3 linked regions of the Stegostoma tigrinum genome follow. The protein of the gene in region 2 interacts with the protein of the main gene of each other region in a biochemical or structural test. Links are inferred from orthologs where the notes say so. Each region holds a gene or a part of one and is shown on either strand. Other genes may lie near its edges.

The links. The genes of interacting proteins can lie anywhere in the genome.
Region 1: the proteins of raf1b (region 2) and phosphatidylethanolamine-binding protein 4 form a complex in vitro, tested with the Homo sapiens proteins (2 studies listed by BioGRID). The link is inferred for Stegostoma tigrinum from reciprocal best matches to the Homo sapiens genes RAF1 and PEBP4.
Region 3: the proteins of raf1b (region 2) and rheb form a complex in vitro, tested with the Homo sapiens proteins (3 studies listed by BioGRID and IntAct). The link is inferred for Stegostoma tigrinum from reciprocal best matches to the Homo sapiens genes RAF1 and RHEB.

The regions. Positions count from the first base shown.
Region 1 is NC_081393.1:4,634,584-4,642,301, forward strand, and holds the start of phosphatidylethanolamine-binding protein 4, read right to left. Parts: upstream 3,019-7,718; 5' UTR 2,860-3,018; coding exon 2,852-2,859; intron 1,487-2,851; exon of another isoform or gene 1,447-1,486; intron 1-1,446. UniProt on the Homo sapiens protein: Promotes AKT phosphorylation, suggesting a possible role in the PI3K-AKT signaling pathway.
Region 2 is NC_081364.1:25,156,118-25,163,118, reverse strand, and holds the start of raf1b (RAF proto-oncogene serine/threonine-protein kinase), read left to right. Parts: upstream 1-3,992; 5' UTR 3,993-4,007; coding exon 4,008-4,015; intron 4,016-4,161; exon of another isoform or gene 4,162-4,774; intron 4,775-7,001. UniProt on the Homo sapiens protein: Serine/threonine-protein kinase that acts as a regulatory link between the membrane-associated Ras GTPases and the MAPK/ERK cascade, and this critical regulatory link functions as a switch determining cell fate decisions including proliferation, differentiation, apoptosis, survival and oncogenic transformation.
Region 3 is NC_081355.1:146,855,487-146,862,689, reverse strand, and holds the start of rheb (GTP-binding protein Rheb), read right to left. Parts: upstream 3,019-7,203; 5' UTR 2,673-3,018; coding exon 2,621-2,672; intron 1-2,620. UniProt on the Homo sapiens protein: Small GTPase that acts as an allosteric activator of the canonical mTORC1 complex, an evolutionarily conserved central nutrient sensor that stimulates anabolic reactions and macromolecule biosynthesis to promote cellular biomass generation and growth.

The DNA of each region.
Region 1 (7,718 bases), on a different chromosome or scaffold from region 2:
TGCCCCCACACCTCCTCCCTCACCCCTATCCCAGGCCCCAAGATGACGTTCCATATTAAGCAGAAGTTCACCTGCACATCTGCCAATGTGGTATACTGCATCCATTGTACCCAGTGTGGCTTCCTCTACATTGGGGAAACCAAGTGGAGGCTTGGGGACCGCTTTGCAGAACACCTCAGCTCGGTTCGCAATAAACAACTACACCTCCCAGTTGCAAACCATTTCCACTCCCCCTCCCATTCTCTAGATGACATGTCCATCATGGGCCTCCTGCAGTGCCACAACGATGCCACCCGAAGGTTGCAGGAACAGCAACTCATATTCCGCACGGGAACCCTGCAGCCCAATGGTATCAATGTGGACTTCACCAGCTTCAAAATCTCCCCTTCCCCCACCGCATCCCAAAACCAGCCCAGTTCATCCCCTCCCGCCACTGCACCACACAACCAGCCCAGCTCTTCCCCTCCACCTACTGCATCCCAAAACCAGTCCAACCTGTCTCTGCCTCCCTAACCTGTTCTTCCTCTCACCCATCCCTTCCTCCCACCCCAAGCCACACCTCCATCTCCTACCTACTAACCTCATCCCACCTCCTTGACCTGTCTGTCTTCCCTGGACTGACCTATCCCCTCCCTACCTCCCCACCTATACTCTCCTCTCCACCTATCTTCTTTTCTCTCCGTCTTCGGTCCGCCTCCCCCTCTCTCCCTATTTATTCCAGAACCCTCACCCCATCCCCTTCTCTGATGAAGGGTCCAGGCCCAAAACATCAGCTTTTGTGCTCCTGAGATGCTGCTGGGCCTGCTGTGTTCATCCAGCCTCACATTTTATTATCTTGGATTCTCCAGCATCTGCAGTTCCCATTATCACTTATAGAACTGGTGGGTTCAGTATATTGATCAACAAAATTCAAGAAGTGTTACTGTCTTCCTGATTTTCAAGTGCCAAACTTTGCAGCTGGAGAATGCCAATTTTCAGACCAACTAAAAGCCATTTCTTTGAAACACTACTTTAAAAGAGAGATCATTCAGAAAACCTCACGAAGGTATTACAAACAATATGAAAGTGAAAACCACAAGGTTTTCTGATATCTGGATTAGTTTCCTCACAGAAAAAAGCTGGCATCAGATCTGAACTGTGTGTATGCGAAGAAATTCATGGACCCAAGTGAAACTATGAGAGTTAGATGTGGTGATAATGGGAACTGCAGATGCTGGAGAATCCAAGATATCAAAGTGCGGAGCTGGATGAACACAGCAGGCCAAGCAGCATCTCAGGACCACAAAAGCTGACGTTTCAGGCCTAGACCCTTCATCAGAGAGGGTCTAGGCACGAAACGTCAGCTTTTGTGCTCCCGAGATGCTGCCTGGCCTGCTGTGCTCATCCAGCTCCACACTTTGTTATCACAGTTAGATGGAGTGCTTTGTATGTAAATATCATCATCACCTTCTGAGGTATCCATGTCACGGAAATGTCAGCAGTGTTTTGACAATCAACAAATGGCAACATAATGGCCAAAGCTGAGGCATTTTTGTTCAAACAAAACAAGCAGTAACAAATAACAAATCTTTGCATTTCTGTGGCAATATTGTCACTCAGAGCTTTACCAAACAAAACTTAATGCCGAACCATTCTCAGGAAATCTTTGGAAAGGATCAGTTTTGTAGGAGTAAAACTATTCTGAAAAGGAGGAAAGATAATAGGCCCGAAACGTCAGCTTTTGTGCTCCTGAGATGCTGCTGGATCTGCTGTGTTCATCCAGCCTCACATTTTATTATCTTGGATTCTCCAGCATCTGCAGTTCCCATTATCACTGAAAGGAGGCAGGCTGGATTCAAGAGTCAACTCTCTTTCTCTGGCCACAGATGCTGCTAGAGCTGCTGAGTTTCCCAGTACTTTGAATTTTTATTTCAGATTTCAAGCATTTGCAGTATTTTGCCTGCATTTCAATTTCAAGCGGTGTCTTCGGGGAGCAACAAGAAATATGCAAATATTTAGGTTGGTGGTGGTGGTTAAAGCTGGGAGATAGATTTTCAGAGCTTCAGGTGGTTCAGTTGTTTTCTTCTGGATGAGACTTTAAACTCAGAATACCCGAGGTGGAGGGAAAAAAAATCCCACTGCACTAACTGAAAGAACTGGGCTGTCCTCGAACAAACATATCCCTTGACCGACACAACGAAAAAAGAACAGATTCTCCGTTCCTAATCAGGGTACTGCATGTAAGGTCTTGTTGTGCAGAAACAGGCTGCACTGTTTCACACGAACAGCCAAACACTAGGTCATCTGCAGGTTGGGAAACGCTGTGTCTCCAAACGTTGGTCCATTCTTCCTCCTGACCATTTTGAGTTCTCTGAATGTTCTGTTATCAGGAGAGGTTTGCCAACAATGCTTCTCTGTGTCTTTCTGCGGGATCCGCCTTGGGACAACATGCAGACAGGAATATCCGACCCGGAACGAACTCTTCCTCATGTTGACAGTTCCGTTGTCAACAAACACAGAACCCCATTTGCTGAGCGGTGCGTAAATTTCGGGGCAAAGTATGAAAATAAAGACAAAAAATGTATCAGACGGCCGACGGCAGCTTATGTCATTCCATCAAGACAGTGACAGAGAGAGAGAGAGAGACCAAGAGTTGGCACGAAGCAAACATTGTATTTTTAGCACAAGCTGCCAGTGCAGAAAGAAAGAAAACTTGTCGCGAAGCAATTCCACCTGTTTCACCGCACAAACTCCCCTGCGAACAAAAATGTGCGAATTACAGCATGGGCACGTCCACAACAAGCTCGAAACACACGTAAAAATTGTGTTTTGAGTGCCAGACCACCACCCAGAGAAAACAAGGGCAGTTTACCTCATCATTTGTCCAGTACCGTTCAACAAAACCAACGGAGTTCACCGGCTGGGCGATACGCACAGCTTTGCAGCTTCGCGTGTAAAAGGCCCCCGCGCGCTCGACGCTTTTCGAAAGCAAAAAACAAGCGCACGCGCCACCCAAACACCAACGGTCGGCGGCAAATTCTCCCGCCCCTCCCCAACCCCTACGGCGCACCCGGCCTTCCTGTTGGCGAAGCTGTTGGAGGGGCTGGGCGCCGATTGGATGCCAGCGATGTCCGTCACCTTGGATCAGGCACGCCCTTCGCCGCGTCCGCCTGATTGTCCTAACCCTTCCAAACCAAAACGACGTATGGTGTTGGGCACGCGATGGTGGTGGTCTCAGCTGCGTTTGTCAAATCTTTGGATGGCGTGCGGCCCATGCACGGGATTTAAATAGTCGCAACCAACTTGATCTTGCCCCCCAATCAGCAAGACGTAACCAGCTGACTCTGAGCCAATCTCTTTTGGCTCTGGGGATGTGGGTTCTCTCAGTGTCCTGAGAGGAGGCATCACAAAGAGTCTGAGAAGTTTCTGAGTGAGCCCTCCCTGGGATTAGTGTATCAAATTCCCAGCCAGCAGTTCACCCAAAACTGAACATCTTCCGGTATCGGGGCCTGTTTTCCTGACTCAGATCAGCTTGATCAGCCCTTTCCAGCCTCTGCAGGAGTTCCTCAGGGGAGTGACCAAGGTCCAACCCATGGCTGCTACCTCGGTCACCCTTCTTCCATCATTAAATCAGAACCGGGGATGTTTGCTGATGACTGTACAAGGATAAGCGTCGTTCACAGATACTGAAGCAGTCCACATGCAGCAAGACCCAAACAATATCCACAATTGGACTGAAAAATGGCAAGTCACATTCACACCATGCATGAGTGGCAATAGTCAAGTTGAATAAGAGAAAATGTAGAGATCCTCACCATCTCTTCTTCACACTTAGTGGCATTAGCATCGATAAATTCTCTCCTTTTTCAATTCACACGTTGAATGTGCACTTTGCTGGCCAAATAAACATTTATTGCCCATTCCTAATTGCCATTGAGAAAATGGTGGTAAGGCAGCCCTCTGGTACTGCTGCAGTCCTTTCTTCCTCACTACCCTGAAGGGCTTGTACAGCGATGTTCTGGAGCAGAGGTGATTGATCCTCAACAACCACAACCATCCTCATTGTGCAAGCTATAACTCCAACCAACAGAGAGGTATTTCCTCCTGATTCTCATTGACTCCAATTCTGCTTGGACTCCTTGATACACCATTCAATCAAATGCAGCCTTGATGTCTCATGAAGTCAGTCACTTCTGCTCTGTGTTGAACTCTTTTGTCCAAGTTAGAAGCAAGGATGTTCTGACGCGAGGAACCACCTGGTGTGTAGAACTCAGGCTGAGCATCAGTCAGTGAGCAACCTATAAGCAACAACCTGACAAATCCAGTGGCTACAAAAGTAGGCCAGAAACTAGGAAATCTTCAGCAAGTAATTCACCTGTCTCCCCCATTGCTTGTTCATAATTTACAAGTCATGAACTCATCTCCAAATGCCTAGATGAGTGCATTACCAGTAACATTCATCATCAAGTGTAACTTGATCATCATCAAGATGGCAGCAGAGTAGGGCTCCTGAACTGGGGCTGATCCACTCTGACTGCTTTTCTTTTTACTTACCTCTTGTCTTGACTTCAAGTAATATTGACAGCGACAAGGAACCCCAGTGCAGACACAAGAGAGCCCAGGATGGACTTGAGTGAGCACAATGGGGACTCATGGTGCCAAGTGAGCCCAGCGGGGACCTCATGGCAGCAACAACTGAGTCATTACTTACAGAATCTGGCATCAGAATCGGTGGTTGCTATATTTGCAATAGGAAATATTGGGGACATAGGTCTAGTGGCAAAGATGCTGTCTGAAGAATGGCAACTTCAACAGTGTTTGGGTCGAGTGTAGACAGCAGCAAAGCAGTGGAGGAGGAGGAACAGCGCAAGTGTCATTGATGATGAGCTGGCTCAGGATTGATGGACTTTGGTTAAGCTGTCATCTTTTTCTTATTCTTAAAACTACTCAAAATAGCACTGTATTGTAGTATCATTGGAAAAGATTTGGACTGTATTTTACTGTTCTCACTGGAAAATACAGGTGACAACAAAATCATTCATTCATTCATTCACGAGACAAGCTAGGACAAAGCAGCCAGTTTAATCAGCGCTCCGTCATGACTTTCAACATTCACTCCCTCTAGCATCAACACGCAGTGACATCAGTGTGTGGCATGTAAAAGATACACTGCAACAGCTTACCAAGGCACCTTCGAAAGCAACAGCACTCATAAAGATAATGAATTTCCCGGTTGCATATCCAAAAAGAGCTGAACCTTGAGACAGTAAGTTATTTGTGTTGCGGATGGAGGGTTTCAGGGTCGTGGTGTGGGTTGCAGGGAGTGGATGGTAGAAGAGGGTTGGAGACAAGGCTTGTGAGTATAGTTTACAGCAGGAAGTGACTGCTCCCCTTCAATGTCCCCTCTCAGAATGGCAAAATGAAGGAACTTTCCATCTCCCAAACCCAGCAGGCACACTGCCCCCGTTTCCCAGTCAGGAACTCCCTACATTTGTTGTTCACTTGCTGCAGGTAAGCAGGTCAGTGGAGGTTGAATACCTTAAGCCCTTAATTGAAACCCTTAATCAAGAAGGACCTTCTCACCCAGAAATTATTTGCTGAAGTGGCAAAAAGTGACCCATTTATTTATTCTTCTCACCATGTTCCATGACATCTCCAGGGAAGGGATATTTGCATCATTAATAACCATTCTTCACCATTTCCTGGTCAATTCCCTCTGTCAGCACCATAGGTGTACCTGCATCCCCGAGTACTGGAGTGATTCAAGAGGCAGCTGACCACCACTTTCCCTGGGGCAATTAGAAATGAACAATAAATACTGACCTGGCTAACAAGGTCCACATTCCACAAATGAAGAATTAAGAAACAAACTTCTGGGCTAAAGAGTGGATTTTTCACTGAAATATAGTCTTGATATTCTGGAGGCGCAGAAGATGAGAGACACACAAGTTAATACATTCCTAAGCCTGAATTGTACCAGTTGCAGAAATAATATGCTGTCTGATAAAGGAGCTGTACTCAATGGTGTATCAGCAGAATTCATGTTCACAGAGGTAGAGGCAAAGTTCATTCAATTACTTCTTTTTAATGTTGATTATTTTTAATCTTATTTTGGAGTAAACATGTAAGAGAGAGATATGCCACGTCCAACTGAGACCTGAAGGAGAAAAATTAAGCAGCTTTGAGTAAACACCTGAAAGCCAAGTAGAATTTTCTCATCTCAACAGACATTTAGCTTTCAGATTGTTTCATATGACCTGCCAAATATAGTTTGAGTCAGAAAAATATCACTTCTTGAATCTTTGACTCACTCACAGAACCTATTAAATAAAAGACTACATATCCTGGAGTGTCTTTGCTTGTTACAAAATTAATTTGAAGATGTAACACAACCATTTGATCCATTGTACTGTTGAGGGATTACACTCCAAAAGCTGTCCCTTAATGGGACACTGTGTTCAACCAAGGTTGCAACAGATTGGTGTTGGATCACTAAAAAGAAGACATTATCCTAATCATGCAGAGTTATCGATTTAACCCCAGAACAGCTCTCAATCACAAACTGCTGGAGCACCAAAAGGATGGATTTCATTTAAACTGTTGTGAATAACGTCAGAATTAGAATGGAAACTGTTGTACAATATTAAGATGTCATGATGCTGACAAGATAGATATCTAGTTGGTTTATTGAAAGACTATGGTGGCCACTGGTGTAGAATTGTGGCAATGAGACAAATAAAAAACATAATATGGCGTAAAATTATTAATCTGTATTACAAGCCACTAGGGTAGCACTTTGCAAATTGAATCCCACTACTCCTAAAGTCATACAAAAGATTATAGATTTTGTTAAAGAACACACAGTTCCCCAATTTATCTGACTTTCAAACCAAGGATGACAGAAAGCATGAGCCAGGTTTCTGTACTGAACAAGGATTGTTATTCATTGCAAATGATTGGTATAGAACATAGAACATAGAACAGTACAGCACAGAACAGGCCTTTCAGCCAACAATGTTGTTCCGACCATTGATCCTCATGTATGCACCCTCAAATTTCTGTGACCATATGCATGTCCAGCAGTCTCTTAAATGACCCCAATGACCTTGCTTCCACAACTGCTGCTGGAAACGCATTCCATGCTCTCACAACTCTCTGTGTAAAGAACCCGCCTCTGACATCCCCTCTATACTTTCCACCAACCAGCTTAAAACTATGACCCCTCGTGCTAGCCATTTCTGCCCTGGGAAATAGTCTCTGGCTATCAACTCTATCTATGCCTCTCATTATCTTGTATACCTCAATTAGGTCCCCCTCCTCCTCCTTTTCTCCAATGAAAAGAGATCGAGCTCAGTCAACCTCTCTTCATAAGATAAGCCCTCCAGTCCAGGCAGCATCCTGGTAAACCTCCTCTGAACCCTCTCCAAAGCATCCACATCTTTCCTATGAACATATATAAACTACCCCTTACACACTTATACAAATAAAATTTGGAAAATAGATTATTGGCAGAGATGGAAAACTGGAAAGTCAGCTCAGTGGTCTCGGCTTCCCAGTTCCGATGTTGAGATAATCCTTCTTTGGCTTTCCAGGTTGTTGATACTCATTTGTCCTCTCTGAATATTTCTGCTCGTTTGTAAATGGCAGAGTGGACAGTTCAAGTGGACAGTTCACTTGGACTATGTCTCAGATTTATTAATTCAAAAGTCGCACTGCTGCAGGAAATTTTTTTCTGAGTT
Region 2 (7,001 bases):
TCATCTGAAACTCTGCTTTCACAAAAATATAGAAAATAAGAACAGGGGTAGATCATTCAGTGCTTCAACATAATTATGTCCAATCAGCCAACTCGGTAGACTGTTCCCTCTTTCTCCCCATACTATTTGATCCCTTTAGTCCTATGAATGTATCTAGTTCCTTCTTGAAAACTTTTCATGTCCCAACGTGTACCAAATTTGATTCGACTGTAACCTTTGTGCATGCTAGCCCGCATAGGTTTCTGCTTTTTAAATTCTTATCCTTGTTTTTAGATCCCTCCTTCATCTCATTGCTCCCTAGCTCTGTAATCTCCTCCCATTCTCCAAAGAGCGCAACCTCCAATTCTTATCTCTTGAGCACTTAAAATTTTCATCACTCCATCACTGATGATTGTGTATCCATTACCAAGATCATAAAACTTTTTTTTCATTCATTCATAGGATGGGCATGTCATTGGCTGGGCCAGCACTTATTGCCCATCCCTAATTGCCTTTGAGAAGGTGGTGGTGAATTGGCTTCTTGAACTGCTGCATTTCATTTGGTTAGTTATACCCACAATGCTGTCATGCGCGCAATTTTAGGATTTTGGCCCAGCGACATTGAAGAATTGGCATTATATTTCCAAGTCAAGATGGTGAGTGGCTTAGAATGGAACTTACAGGTGGTGGTGTTTCATGTACCTTCTGTTGATGCCCTTCCAGGTGGTAACATTTGTGAGTCTGGAAGATGTTATCTAAGGAGCCTTGGTGAGCTACTGTAGTGCATCTTGTTGATGGTACACACCACACTTACTGAGCATCGGTGATGGAGGAAGTGAATATTTGTGGATGTGGCACTATTGAAGCAGGCTGCTTTGTTCTGGATGGTGTTAAACTTATTGAGTGTTGCTGAAGCTGCACTTTTCCAGATAAGTAAGGAGTAATCCATTGCATTCCCGTTTTATGCTTTAGAGGTGGTAGGCAGGCTTCCCTCCAGGGAGTCAGGAAATGAGTTGCTGCAGGATTGCCAGCCTCTGACCTATTCTTGGAGCTACAGTATATGTGTGGCTACTCAAATAAAAGCAAAATATTTCAAATGTTGGAAATTTGAAATAAACAGAAAATCCTGGAGAAACTCAGCAGGTCTGGCAGCATCTGTGGAGGGAGAGCAACAGATTTAAAGTTTCGAATAAAATATCATCATCAAATCCCTACAGTGTGAAAGCAGGCCATTCCCATCAAGCCCACACCACCACCCCAAACAGCAATCCCACCCTGACCTACCCCATCCCTGTAACTCTGCTTTTCCCATGTCTAACCCACCTAGCCTGCACATCCCTGGACACTATAGAACAATTTAGCATGGCCAATCCACTTAACTTGCACATCTTTGGACTGTGGAAGGAAACCCAGCCAGACACAGAGAGAATGTGCAAACTCCACACAGACAGCCAAATGAAGGTGGAATCAAACCTGGGTCCAACACACTGAGGCAGTAGTGCTAACCACTGAGCCATCATGCCATCCTCTGTTCTGAAGAAGAGTAATATTAGACTTGAAACATTAACTCTATCTCTGTTTCAACAGATGCTGCCAAACCTGGTGATTTTCTCCAGCATTTTCTGCTGTTATTTATAAGGGTAGTCGAGTTCACTTTCTGGTCAAAGTTAACCTCCAGGATGGTTATGTTTCCTCCCTAAATCACATATTTCCCCTCTTTCCTGCTTTAAGACAATCCTTAAAATCTACTTAATATCTCTCGTACATTTCTATGTGTAGTTTGTTACTACATTTTGTTTGATATACACCAGAAAAATTATGTTGGATAACTTAGTGCAGTAAAGGTACTAATAAATTAATGTTGCCATGTTTTTTTTATTCATTCACAGGATGAGGGTGTTGCTGGATATGCCGCATTTATTGCCCATCCCTAATTGCCCAGAGGGCAGTTAAGAGTCAACACATTGCTGTGGGTCTGGAGTCACGTGTAGGCCAGACCAGGTAAGGATGGAAGATTCCTTCCCTAAAGGTTTATTCATGTATAATCAATTACATATCGAAACCGTATTGAAAGATTGGTTGTGTAGTTAGAAAATTGCCTCAGTTAAACATTTAAACATAATCAACAATAGGTACTGGCTCAGTAGCTTTCTTTAAAATGACAATTGTGGCCCAAGAAGTCTGTACTGGCAAAGATATACTAAATCGTCACTTTCCAGCACTAAAGGTATTGTAATAACTATGTAGTTATATATCATAATATGCACTTGTTTTAAGGCTGTTCTGTGTTCAATCATATTTAATTTCAAACTTATTGCATGGAAGTTGACATTTTAAAAAGTGCAAGTCAGCATCTCTTTACAACAACGTCATAATAGTAGCTTGGATTCATACTGATCTCTATTTTAGCAGAGATGAAAGCAGTATTGGACCTAGAAAATCTTTGGAGTAATTGAATCTGAAGATGACAGTGGTGTGAACAAGAGTTTCAGCAGAAATTTCCTTTTTGACTTGACCAGCGTGTAAATGGATTACATAATGAATTGGAAGTAGATGTCTTTCTGACAGAAGGAAGATACGTTGAAAGCTCAGTCCAGCAATGAATAGGATAATAAGGGTCTAAACAGTCTGATAAACCACGAGACAGTTACAGTAGCTCACTGGAGTTGCACTATTAATTGTCACATTAACACATTATTTTCTTCATTATATCTCAAGAAAGTAGCAAATATAATCAATCAAAATGGTGGATGCTGTAAATCAGGAACAAAAACAGAAGTTGCTGGAAAAGCTCAGCAGGTCTGGCAGCATCTGTGAAGGGTCACTGGACCCGAAATGTTAACTCTGATTTTTTTCTTCACAGATGCTGCCAGACCTGCTGACGTTTTCCAGCAACTTCTGTTTTTGTAGCAAATATAATCATTTTATTCAAGAAGGAGAAAGGCTGTATGTAGACCAAGTAACGTGACATCTGATATCTGGAAGGCATTGGAATTATGAAAGGGATTATACCTTAGAAAAACATGAAGTAGTCAGCAAGAGTCAACATCATTTCATCAAAGAGAAATCATGTTTAGCCAATTTGTTGGAGTTCTTTGATGGAGTTCCATGGTCTGTGGATAATTGTAAACCTGCAGATGAGCTGGACTTGGATTTCCAGATGGCATTTGATAAGGTGGCACATAAATGGTATTTGCAGAAAATAAAAACTCATGGTGTGTAATGCATTGATAGAAAACTGACTGGTTGGCAGAAAATAAACAGTATGCATAAATAGGGCTTGGATGTGATAAGTCTTCCAGGTCAAATCCTGGTCTTTGCCTGAGCCTAAATTCATCAGATCCCAATCTTTCATCTACATGGCCCAGTTCAATTATCTTCTCTTCTTGATCTAAACTGATTTACTGGCATACCACAAGGAATTGACTAACGTTCTGTGCAATTGAGAATTTTAAATGTTTACTTAGATAAGAAATTTAAAGTATTAGACAAAAAGTTTGATGGGGGCAGCAAAATTATTTGGAATAGATTTGTTTTTTCAATGAGGAACCGTTTAAAAGCAACAGTACAACTGCAAACAAATGCAAAATGCCGTAGATGCTGGAAATCTGAAATAGAAACTGAAAATACACGTAATACTCAACAGGTATGAGTTCTACACCTGAGTCCAGAGTGGACAATGTGATGCGCCGAGGTTCCCAGCGCAAGGCGTCAAATTCACTTTGAAAAGCGGAAAATGGTGCCAATACTCAGCGGTTCAGGGCTGATTATAACTGAAAGGCTGGCGTATCTGCCCTCTCCACCTATACTGATTGACCTGAGTGTGTCCTCAGCATTTTCCGTTCGTGATCAGATTTCCAGCACATGCTTTTTAAAAAACATATATAAATGGTCTTTAGCGTGTTCAGCTGCTCAGTTGGACTCTCTGAACAAGCCAGAGACGGACACAATGATGTTATAATTGTTTTTTTGTGCGTGTCAGGGTGGTTGTTTCGACCGACAGCTACAAGACACTCTCATTTCCAAACATGCCGAGGTAAGCTAACAGGATGGAGTGGTCAAATGACCTCGGTGGAATTTCACTTGCTATTTGCAGTGCAGTGTCCCTAAAGCCTGGCAACAGGCTGACGATGGCTGTAAATCCACTATCTTATTTCAACTGTCTGACGTCATCCAAACTCACATTTCTTAACGTTGGAAGAGCAGAGAGAAAACTTTAATGTACTTTGCAAATTAATTTACCAAACACTACACCTTTCTCTGACTCATTTGTCTTCGGTGTGAGGGAGACTTTTATTGTTCTATGTCCGTCTCCAAGGGTCTGAGGAACTTTTTGGTGTTTATGCTCCTCTCACGAAAAGCAATGCATCTTTTCCAGTGCCCGTGACCTGATAGTTGCTTCTCTTTAGACCGTGTGTGAGTGCCGGAGCAGGTATTTAGCTCCCATTCAATGGGGTGGGGGAGGCGAGTTTGCAGACTCGCGCAAATGGTTTGAGAGGACGACCGTTCTCCTGCATTGGAATCGCGAATATCCTAGCTCTTCCGGCATCCTGCACGCAGGGCTGCGATGTGAACGGAGCCTGTGATCGCAGCAGTTGGCCAGAGTGTGTGGGAACCAGTGTGCAAGTGGGGGAATATGATGATGTCAGCGGGCGACAACTTTCTCGCTTAGTTATGGCGGAGGTCAACTTGAGAGAGTTGGCCAACCTTCGGATCTCCAACACGGCAGCGGGGATCGGCGCCGAGTCCTCACCCGGCTCCCTCGACCTTTAAAGGGACAGCGATCGGTGAAAGTGTGAGTGCGGTTGGGTGCACTGGGAAAGGGTTAAAGCCGCCGTTTGTTCCCTCTTGTCTGGTTTTATTTTGTTGTTGGTTGCTGCGGGTGGCTGTCCCTCTTTGCAGGAGGGCCCAAAGCGTCGAGCTTGTAGGCCGGTCCCAAAAATATCTGTTTTCTTTTAAGTTTTCCTTCCCCACCTTCCTCGACCCGAAAAGACTGCTCGGCGTAAGGCCGTTTCCCTCTTGGCGGTAACACGCAGCGACCATTGTAGAAGTTGTGCACACATTGTGCAGTCTGTCTGAGTGCCCAGGGTCAGCGCGATTGCTTTCGCCTCTGTTACACTAACTCGATCTATTGTGCGCTTCACATCTTTTCAAAATCCACCGAGTTCGGAGGAGGTAGTGCTGGTGGCGGTGGCGGGGCGGGGGTAGGAGGTGGTGGTTGGACCAAGTAAACTCAGAATATTTCGAGGGGCACAGAGACAGAGAGAGACAGAGAGAGAAAATAAAAATGGTCTGGTTCGCCCACACGATATTTATTCGAGCAAGAACACCGTCAACACACGCCGGGGTTTCATTCGGTTGAAAAATCCAAACACCTCGCCAGTGACTCCACTCCAGAGGGTTGTCACTCTCGCTAACTAATCTGCCGTGTGACTGTGAGAAGGTTTACTTGTTTCAAGTGAGCGGAGAGAATTCTCACGTGTACGATTCAGAAAGCATTCACGCGTGTCCTGAATGACACACAGGCACGATGGTGGTGGTCTGTGACTGTATGTGTGAGTGTCTGTCTGTACGTGGTTTGGGCTGGGTTTGGTGGTGGGTGGGGTTGCGAATTTTCACCCAACTCTTAGGCAAGTGGTTCTGTCGTGCGAGGCTTCCAAAAGGGGGAAACACCCATTCTGGAAATAAACTCCAGACGTAGAGATCCTTTCGTACTAATCGATCATTAACTGAAGTCTTTGGATGTAAACCTGGATCAAACAGATCGAAGCATGATAATGGCAGTGCGGTATCATTCTTTCGATCACTAGGAGCCAGACTTCCTTGAAACTGCCGAAATAGCTCTAAGCTTTTTTTTTAAGTTGAAGGCAGTTCAGTCAGCAGGCCCACAAAACATTACACCAGTGTAAATTCTACACTTATTCTATCCACTTATGCAGAATCCCTCTCGCATGCTGTCGATTCACACATTTTTATATAAAACAACACATTGCTGTTTGTTGTTGTATCCAGTTTAATATGTTTAAAAATAGGTAAATATTACCTCCAGTTTCAGGCAGTTTGCTGATAATTGGCTACCAGCACTTTCTCCTGCGTAGCATTGCTTGCAATTGAGATTTTGATATTTGGTAAATGTATTTTTCTGGTATTTACACTATAAAATTGAAGGTAACACAGTAAACATTGAGGCACACATAAAATTAAGTGGAAACTCATTTGAGATTGAGAAGAGTGTACCTTTTATTTTGTGAACTGGAAGTACAAAAATATAAATCTCCCAGAACTGACCCAAACCTGTCCTTGGTCTTCAGTTTTGGGAATCATTTAGAGTGTCTGTGTTGATTCACATATCTGTTTGATAAGACACTCAGGATGTAACACTGAAAAGTATGGTGTCATGTGACTACCACAGTGATGATTCTGATTTTTGTCTGTAGTGATCCCTGGGGGCACCTTTCTAAATGGATGTGGGAATATTGTGCGCCATAGTACACAATGGACTATCTCCCTACCACTCCTACGATTATTTGTGGGGTTGAACAAGAAAACATTTTGTAATTGGGATGTTTTATTTGTGAATGAAATATCAACAATCTTTCATAACATTATATATCAGACCAGGAAATGTTGGAGGACTATACAAAGAGATCCACTGTGTTTTGTGCTGTTGATCTGGCAAGCAATCTGTACACAACAGCCTAAAATACACCACCAATTCTGATGCTGTCCTTGCTTAAATATGTGAGAATGGAACTGCAGAAAGACTGGTATTTCTTTGTGTGACCCTATGAATAGGAGTTACATAAATTTGCATTCAGTTACTGTTCTGTGAATAACGACCCATAAACAACAGTCACTGTTTATGCTGGTACAGCCTTGGGTAGGTCAATTGTAGAAATAAGGTCACACTGGGAAAGACTTATCTAGATCTTGACACATAACAGGTAAACAATGCAGGAATTTGGATGTTTGTAGGAGTACTTATTTCACCATAGGTGGTAACTACTGCATACATAAAATAC
Region 3 (7,203 bases), on a different chromosome or scaffold from region 2:
GTGGATGCCCTTATGACATAGGTGCATGTTAACTTCGTGATATAAATGATTAGGAAGATCTATAGAATACTGGCCTTTATTGCAAGGGCAATGAAGTATGTGTCGTCAAAGCAATGGCAAAAACTAAACATCCAGATGGCCCAAGCTAATGCCCAAAAGTTAGGAATACTTTACTTTAAAAGATCTGTAAGATTCTGAAAAGAGAGCTAGTTGTAAGTAATACAAGATTCTCCAACTAGTGTAAGTTTACAGCGAACTGGTGTTAGCCACACCATAGGTGAACCACAGAAGCCTGATTATTAGATTGAACACTGATACTGCAACGTGCCACATGAAATTTCACTTTCAATATAATCCAAATGACAAAATCAACACAGCTTTGATTCCAATCATGGTTCAATTGTCAGAGCTTGTTCTGTCTGCCCACTCTAATACACAAATACAGGCTAATTTTTTTTTTAAAAACCTGTGTGTATGATGACAACAACACGTTGGAGTACATTTCACAGACATAACGCAACTCAGGACTGGAATGACACTACACACTGAGCAAAACAGGCTATTTTATCAGTGTCATGTCAATGGCCTTGATTTTACATACTCGCATTTACCATTATTTTACTATTTAGTTGAAATTGTTTTGCTATGAAATACTTGTAAAAACACTGCTTAAATTTGTTTAAATTCATCAAGGCAACCTGCACAATTGCAAAAATGACCAGGTCCTAACTGAATTAATCTGTTCCATGCAAGTGCTAGGAATTTTTCAGCAACAGAAAAACGTTTACATTTCAAAGCCACAGAATTCCAAGGGTAATATGCTATACAACGTTCCTTAGCTAGAAAGGGCTCATGATTCCAAAAATACACCAAAAGAAGTCATAACCCTCAAAGTAGTCCATTTGCTATGTCCACATCCAGAAAGCATGCCAAACATGGGGTGCTCCAAAATGAATCACAACATTAGCAAGGCAATTGCTGCATTAGGCAATAATCTATTGCTATGATCATAAACATTTAGATAGCAGCCGATATCTGGATAGCCTGAAACATTAGAAAACTGCAGCAAAATCCTCCTGGCTGTTCAGCTTTAATGCATCAAGGCATTTATTTCTGCTGACAGTATCACTGCTTAAATTTATGTTTCTAAACCTTTAATAGCTTGGTATTAAATCCCAACATACTAATAATCTAAAATTGAAATCCTGCACAGATTACATAAATGCATTTTTCCCTCAGGTAAATGACTTGTTGTAAAACAACCTTCATTGTTCAAACTGCATCACTAAATTAACGCAACATAATACACTGAAATAGATGACTAAAATTAAAGGGTAAAATCTGCCATTGCGACATTGAGCGATGGTAAAAGGCCCATTTACCGTAAGGAACGGCTATTTAAAAAGCCGAATCCACCAGGTTTCACTGAACTAATTGCCTCTCGTGTATCCAACCACGTTTAAGTCGAAATTTACGTCGCAAAGTAGTTATGCAATGTTAACATTTGCAGAGAAAACTACTTTTAAAACAAAAATTACCGATTACAGTCTGTAATATTTTATTAAAAGGCACTCCACAAACAGAAATTCCAAGAAACACACCGTAATAACGCTTATTTCTCTACCAGCTGTCACTGAAAAGCTAAAACAAAGCTAACGAATGGGGGAGGGGAAGTAAAAGGACAGTCATTACGTGGGGTTAGGTTTCCTAGAGAATTCCTTTGTGAATTAACGTCGCTGGAACAAACCAGAAAAACACATTTAACATGCATCACACCGACGCACTATACAAAACAAAAGTTCTCCATCCTGGTAAAGAATATGGTCAATCGTAGCATAAGGCTAGTTAATCTAATAAAGTTTTTTTAAAATCGAGAAGAGACTTTAAGAGTTGTTGGCAGCAACATTAGTTACTAAAACCAGTAACAAACCACCATTCCGTGGTAAAACAAAGTAAAGGTTGAGGGAGGAAGGAAAGTCAGCCATTACACGAGGTTAGTTATTCCAGAGATTTAATCTTTGGTTTTATGCTAATGTATAAATACAATCTAAACAGTTGCGGAATATTCTGGATCAAGCAATAATGTCATGAAATGATTAAATTAAGGAAATACTGATATAGGACAACTAGTTGCAAGATTTTCGAAAACAACCAACGTCTTTCAGCTTCCTGCTCAGCCTACACAAATTTGCGAAGATTACACGATCTTGTAAAGGTGTAACGGCCCCAAATAACGAGTTCATGAAAATAGTGATACATAATACGTAGCTACAAAATTCCATACAGCAAGCGGGAATGTCTTAGTCTGACCATGCAGATCAGTGTCTTATTCACAGACACATGAAAATTCCTCTCAAGACCTTGTGTAACAAGCAATAACGTCTAAGCTTGTGGAAACATTTTTTAAAAGAAAAATCGAGCTGGAGCATTTTCCATAACAAGTAATAATGACGTTAAGATGTCTCTACTAACCCCATATCAATGCACAGCTATATAAAAACTGGTTGCAAGACCTTGCAGAACAAGCACGAATGTTTGCAAATGATGAGAGCACTGCCGTCTCTGGGTTAACTGCTCACTCAGTGCACAGGCTGGGCTGTGCCAAACGCTTTTTACTCACCCACAGATCTGTATCCTAATATCGCAACCTTACGGGACTTCGGTTGTGGCATGTTAACAACGAGGTTCAAGCCAAAAAAAGTACTTTTTTATATTTTAAAAAATGTTTCTGTTGTTATTTCCTTTTTAAAAGAATTCAAATTACAGGCCGACAACCCCCCCAGGAAAAAAAGTAGGGGGAGGGGTGGGAACTTAATACCTCAATAAATTAATCTACATGGATTTCTTTTAAGAAATACGGAGTTTAGAAAGCAACAAAAAACACAATCAATGGTAATTTCTGTTCTACTGAGGTATGATCTGTCAGGTATTTGCTATTTTTGGGCTCTCTAAACGCGTAGTGGCGCAGCTCCGGCCCCCTTTCCCCTTCACCAGATTCAACCGGAACCTTCCAACAGGCAGGACCCACCCCCTCACCGCCGCCTATTGGACTAACCCCGCCGGCCTAACGTTTTCTTCCACGTATCGATTGGCTGAAACGTGCGTCAATCATATATCTCCCCGCCCACTCCGCCTTCCCATGCCTCAGTGTGCCGGCTGCGCGCAGGGCAAGTGTTGGTTTCTCAGCAACGCTGGCGGCTGGTCTGTTCACCCCGCCCCGTTCTCAAGCCCTACCCAACACGCGCATCTCGCGCTGATTGCTGGGAATTGAAGTTCATTTGATTCCCTCCCTTTAGTGAATTCCTTACAGTGTGGAAATAGGCCATTTGGCCCATCGAGTCTGGACCGAGCCTCCGACGAGCATCCCACTCAGACCCACGCCCTTACCCAACTCTGTAACCCTGTATTTTAGGTCTAGGCCCGAAATGTCAGCTTTTGTGCTCCTAAGATGCTGCTTGGCCTGCTGTGTTCATCCAGCTCCACACTTTGTTACCCTGTATTTCCCATTGGCTAATCCACCAAGTGTGCGCATCCCTGGTTATTATGGACAATTTAGTATGGGCAATCCACCTAGCCTGCATATCTTTGGACTATGGAAGGAAACCGGAGCACCCGAAGGAAACCCGCTCAGACACAGGAAGAATGTGCAAGCTCCACACAGTCACCTGAGGCTGGCATTGAACCTGGGTCCCTGGTGCTGTGAGGCAGCAGTGCCAACCCCCGAGCCATTGTGCTCCCCTTCTAAAAGTCAGAGCAACAGACAGAAGAGAACCCAGGACAGGTCTTTGTGGTACACCACTCATAACTGAGCACCATGTTGAATATTTTCCATCCACTGCCATCCTTTGCCTTCTTAGGGTCAGTCAATTCTGAATCCAATCTGCCACATTTCCGCCTATCCCATGCCTCCTTACCTTCTGCAAAAGCCTACCATGGGGAACCTTATCAAACACCTTACTTAAAACCATGTATACCACATCCACTGCTCCACCTTCATCCACGTGTTTGATAACCTCTTCAAAGAATTCAATAAGGTTTGTGAGGCAAGATCTACGCCTCACAAATTCATGCTGACTATCACAAATCAAGTTGTGCCTATCCAAGTGATCATAAATCCTATATCTCAGAGCCCTTTCCAATAATTTGCCCATCACTGACGTAAGAGTAATTGGCCTGTAATTTCCAGGGTTATCCCTATTCCCGTTTTTGAACAAGGGAATGTTGTTTCTCTCTCTCCAATCATCCGGCACTATATCCTTGGACAGTGAGGGTGAAAAGATCATCGCCAAAGGCCCTGTGATCTCTTCCCTTGCTTCCCATAGAATCCTTGGATAAATCCCATCAGTCCTGGGGTACTTATCTATTTTCAACTCCCTCAAAATTCCTGGTACATCTTCCTTACCAACATCGATCTCCTCTAGCCTACCAGCCTGTTTCAGACTGTACTCCTCTACAACTGGGTCCCTCTCAGTTGTGAATATCGAAGAAAAGTATTCATTCAGGACCTCTCCGATCTCTTTACGCTCTGTGCACAAATTCCCTTTACAATCCTTGATTGGCCCTACCCTTTCTCTGGTCGTTCTCTTATTTCTCACGTATGTGTAAAAAGGCCTGAAGTTTTCCTTGATCCTATCCACCAAGGTTTTCTCATGCCCCCTTATAGCTCTCCTAAGCTCTTTGTTCAGCTCCTTCCTGGAAAACTTGTATCCCTCTAGAGCCTTTTCCAATCCTTGTTTCCTAATCCTTACATAAGCATCCTCTTAACCAGACATTCGACCTCTCATGAGAACCAGCGCTCCTTCACGTGACCGCGTCTTCCCTTACTGCCAGGGGCAAACACATCGAGCACACGCTGTATGCATTCCATAAACAATCTCCACATTTCGATAGTGCTCTTCCCTGACAGCATCTGTTCTCAATTTAGTTACCGTGTTCTTGCCTAACGGAATTGTAATTACCCTTCTCCCCCCACCCCAATTATAAACCTTACTCTGCTGTATGTACCTATCCTTTTCCATGAGTATTGTAAAATTAACAGAGTTATGATCACTACTGCCGAAATGCTTTCCTGCCAACAGATCTCACGTTCGGCCCAGTTCATTGTGAAGCACCAAATCCAAAATGCCCTCTCCTTGTATCAGTGATAATGGGAACTGCAGATGCTGGAGAATCCAAGATAATAAAATGTGAGGCTGGATGAACACAGCAGGCCCAGCAGCATCTCAGGAGCACAAAAGCTGACGTTTCGGGCCTAGACCCTTCATCAGAGAGGGGGACAGGGAGAGGGAACTGGAATAAATAGGGAGAGACGGGGAGGCGGACTGAAGATGGAGAGAAAAGAAGATAGGTGGAGAGGAGAGTATAGGTGGGGAGGTAGGGAGGGGATAGGTCAGTCCAGGGAAGACAGACAGGTCAAGGAGGTGGGATGAGGTTAGTAGGTAGGAGATGGAGGTGCGGCTTGGGGTGGGAGGAAGGGATGGGTGAGAGGAAGAACAGGTTAGGGAGGCAGAGACAGGTTGGACTTGTTTTGGGATGCAGTGGGTGGAGGGGAAGAGCTGGGCTGGTTGTGTGGTGCAGTGGGGGGAGGGGACAAGCTGGGCTGGTTATGGGATCCAAAGAGGATCCCCCTCGTTCTCACACACCACCCCACCAACCTCCGGATACAACGCATCATCCTCCGACACGTCCGCCATCTAAAATCCGACCCCACCACCCAAGACATTTTTCCATCCCCACCCCTGTCTGCTTTCCGGAGAGACCACTCTCTCCGTGACTCCCTTGTTCACTCCACACTGCCCTCCAACCTCACCACACCCGGCACCTTTCCCTGCAACCGCAGGAAATGCTACACTTGCCCCCACACCTCCTCCCTCATCCCTATCCCAAGCCCCAAGATGACTTTCCACATTAAGCAGAGGTTCACCTCCACATCTGCCAATGTGGTATACTGCATCCACTGTACCCGGTGTGGCTTCCTCTACATTGGGGAAACCAAGCGGAGGCTTGCAGACCGCTTTGCAGAACACCTCCGCTCGGTTCGCAATAAACAACTGCACCTCCCAGTTGCAAACCATTTCCACTCCCCCTCCCATTCTTTAGATGACATGTCCATCATGGGCCTCCTGCAGTGCCACAATGATGCCACCCGAAGGTTGCAGGAACAGCAACTCATATTCCGCTTGGGAACCTTGCAGCCCAATGGTATCAATGTGGACTTCATCAGCTTCAAAATCTCCCCTTCCCCCACCGCATCCCAAAACCAGCCCACTTCGTCCCCTCCCCCCACTGCACCACACAACCAGCCCAGCTCTCCCCCCCACTGGATCCCAAAACCAGTCCAACCTGTCACTGCCTCCCTAACCTGTTCTTCCTCTCACCCATCCCTTCCTCCCATCCCAAGCCGCACCTCCATCTCCTACGTACTAACCTCATCCCACCTCCTTGACCTGTCCGTCTTCCCTGGACTGACCTATTCCCTCCCTACCTCCCCACCTATACTCTCCTCTCCACCTATCTTCTTTTCTCTCCAACTTCGGTCCGCCTCCCCGTCTCTCCCTATTTATTCCAGAACCCTCACCCCATCCCCCTCTCTGATGAAGGGTCTAGGCCCGAAACGTCAGCTTTTGTGCTCCTGAGATACTGCTGGGCCTGCTGTCTTCATCCAGCCTCACATTTTATTATCTTGCCCTCTCCTTGTGTTGGTCTATCTACATAATGTGTCAGGAATCCTTCTTGAAAGCACTGGACAAAATCCGCTCCATCTAAACTATTACAACTAAAATGTTTCCAATCAATATTTGGAAAGTTGAAGTCACCCGTGGTTACAACCCTGTGACTTCTGCACCTTTCCAGTATCTGCCTCCCAATCTGCTTCTCCACTTCTCTACAACTATTAGGGGGATCTGTTTTTAAAAAAAACCCCAACAAAGTGACTGCTCCTTTGTTGTTCTGGACCTCAAACCAAACTGACTCTCTCGACATATCATTCTCGAACTGTGTTTCAGTAGCTGCTATATTAGCCCTGGCTAGCAGTGCAACTGCCCCGTTTCTTTTTCCCCTCACCCTATTTCTTTTAGAGCATCTAAATCCCAGAACCTCCAGCAGCCGTTCCTCTCCCTGAGTTACCCAAGTTTCTGGAATGGCCACAACATTGTAGTTCCAAGACCGACTCGTGCTCTAAGTTCATCCGCATTATTTCTGATA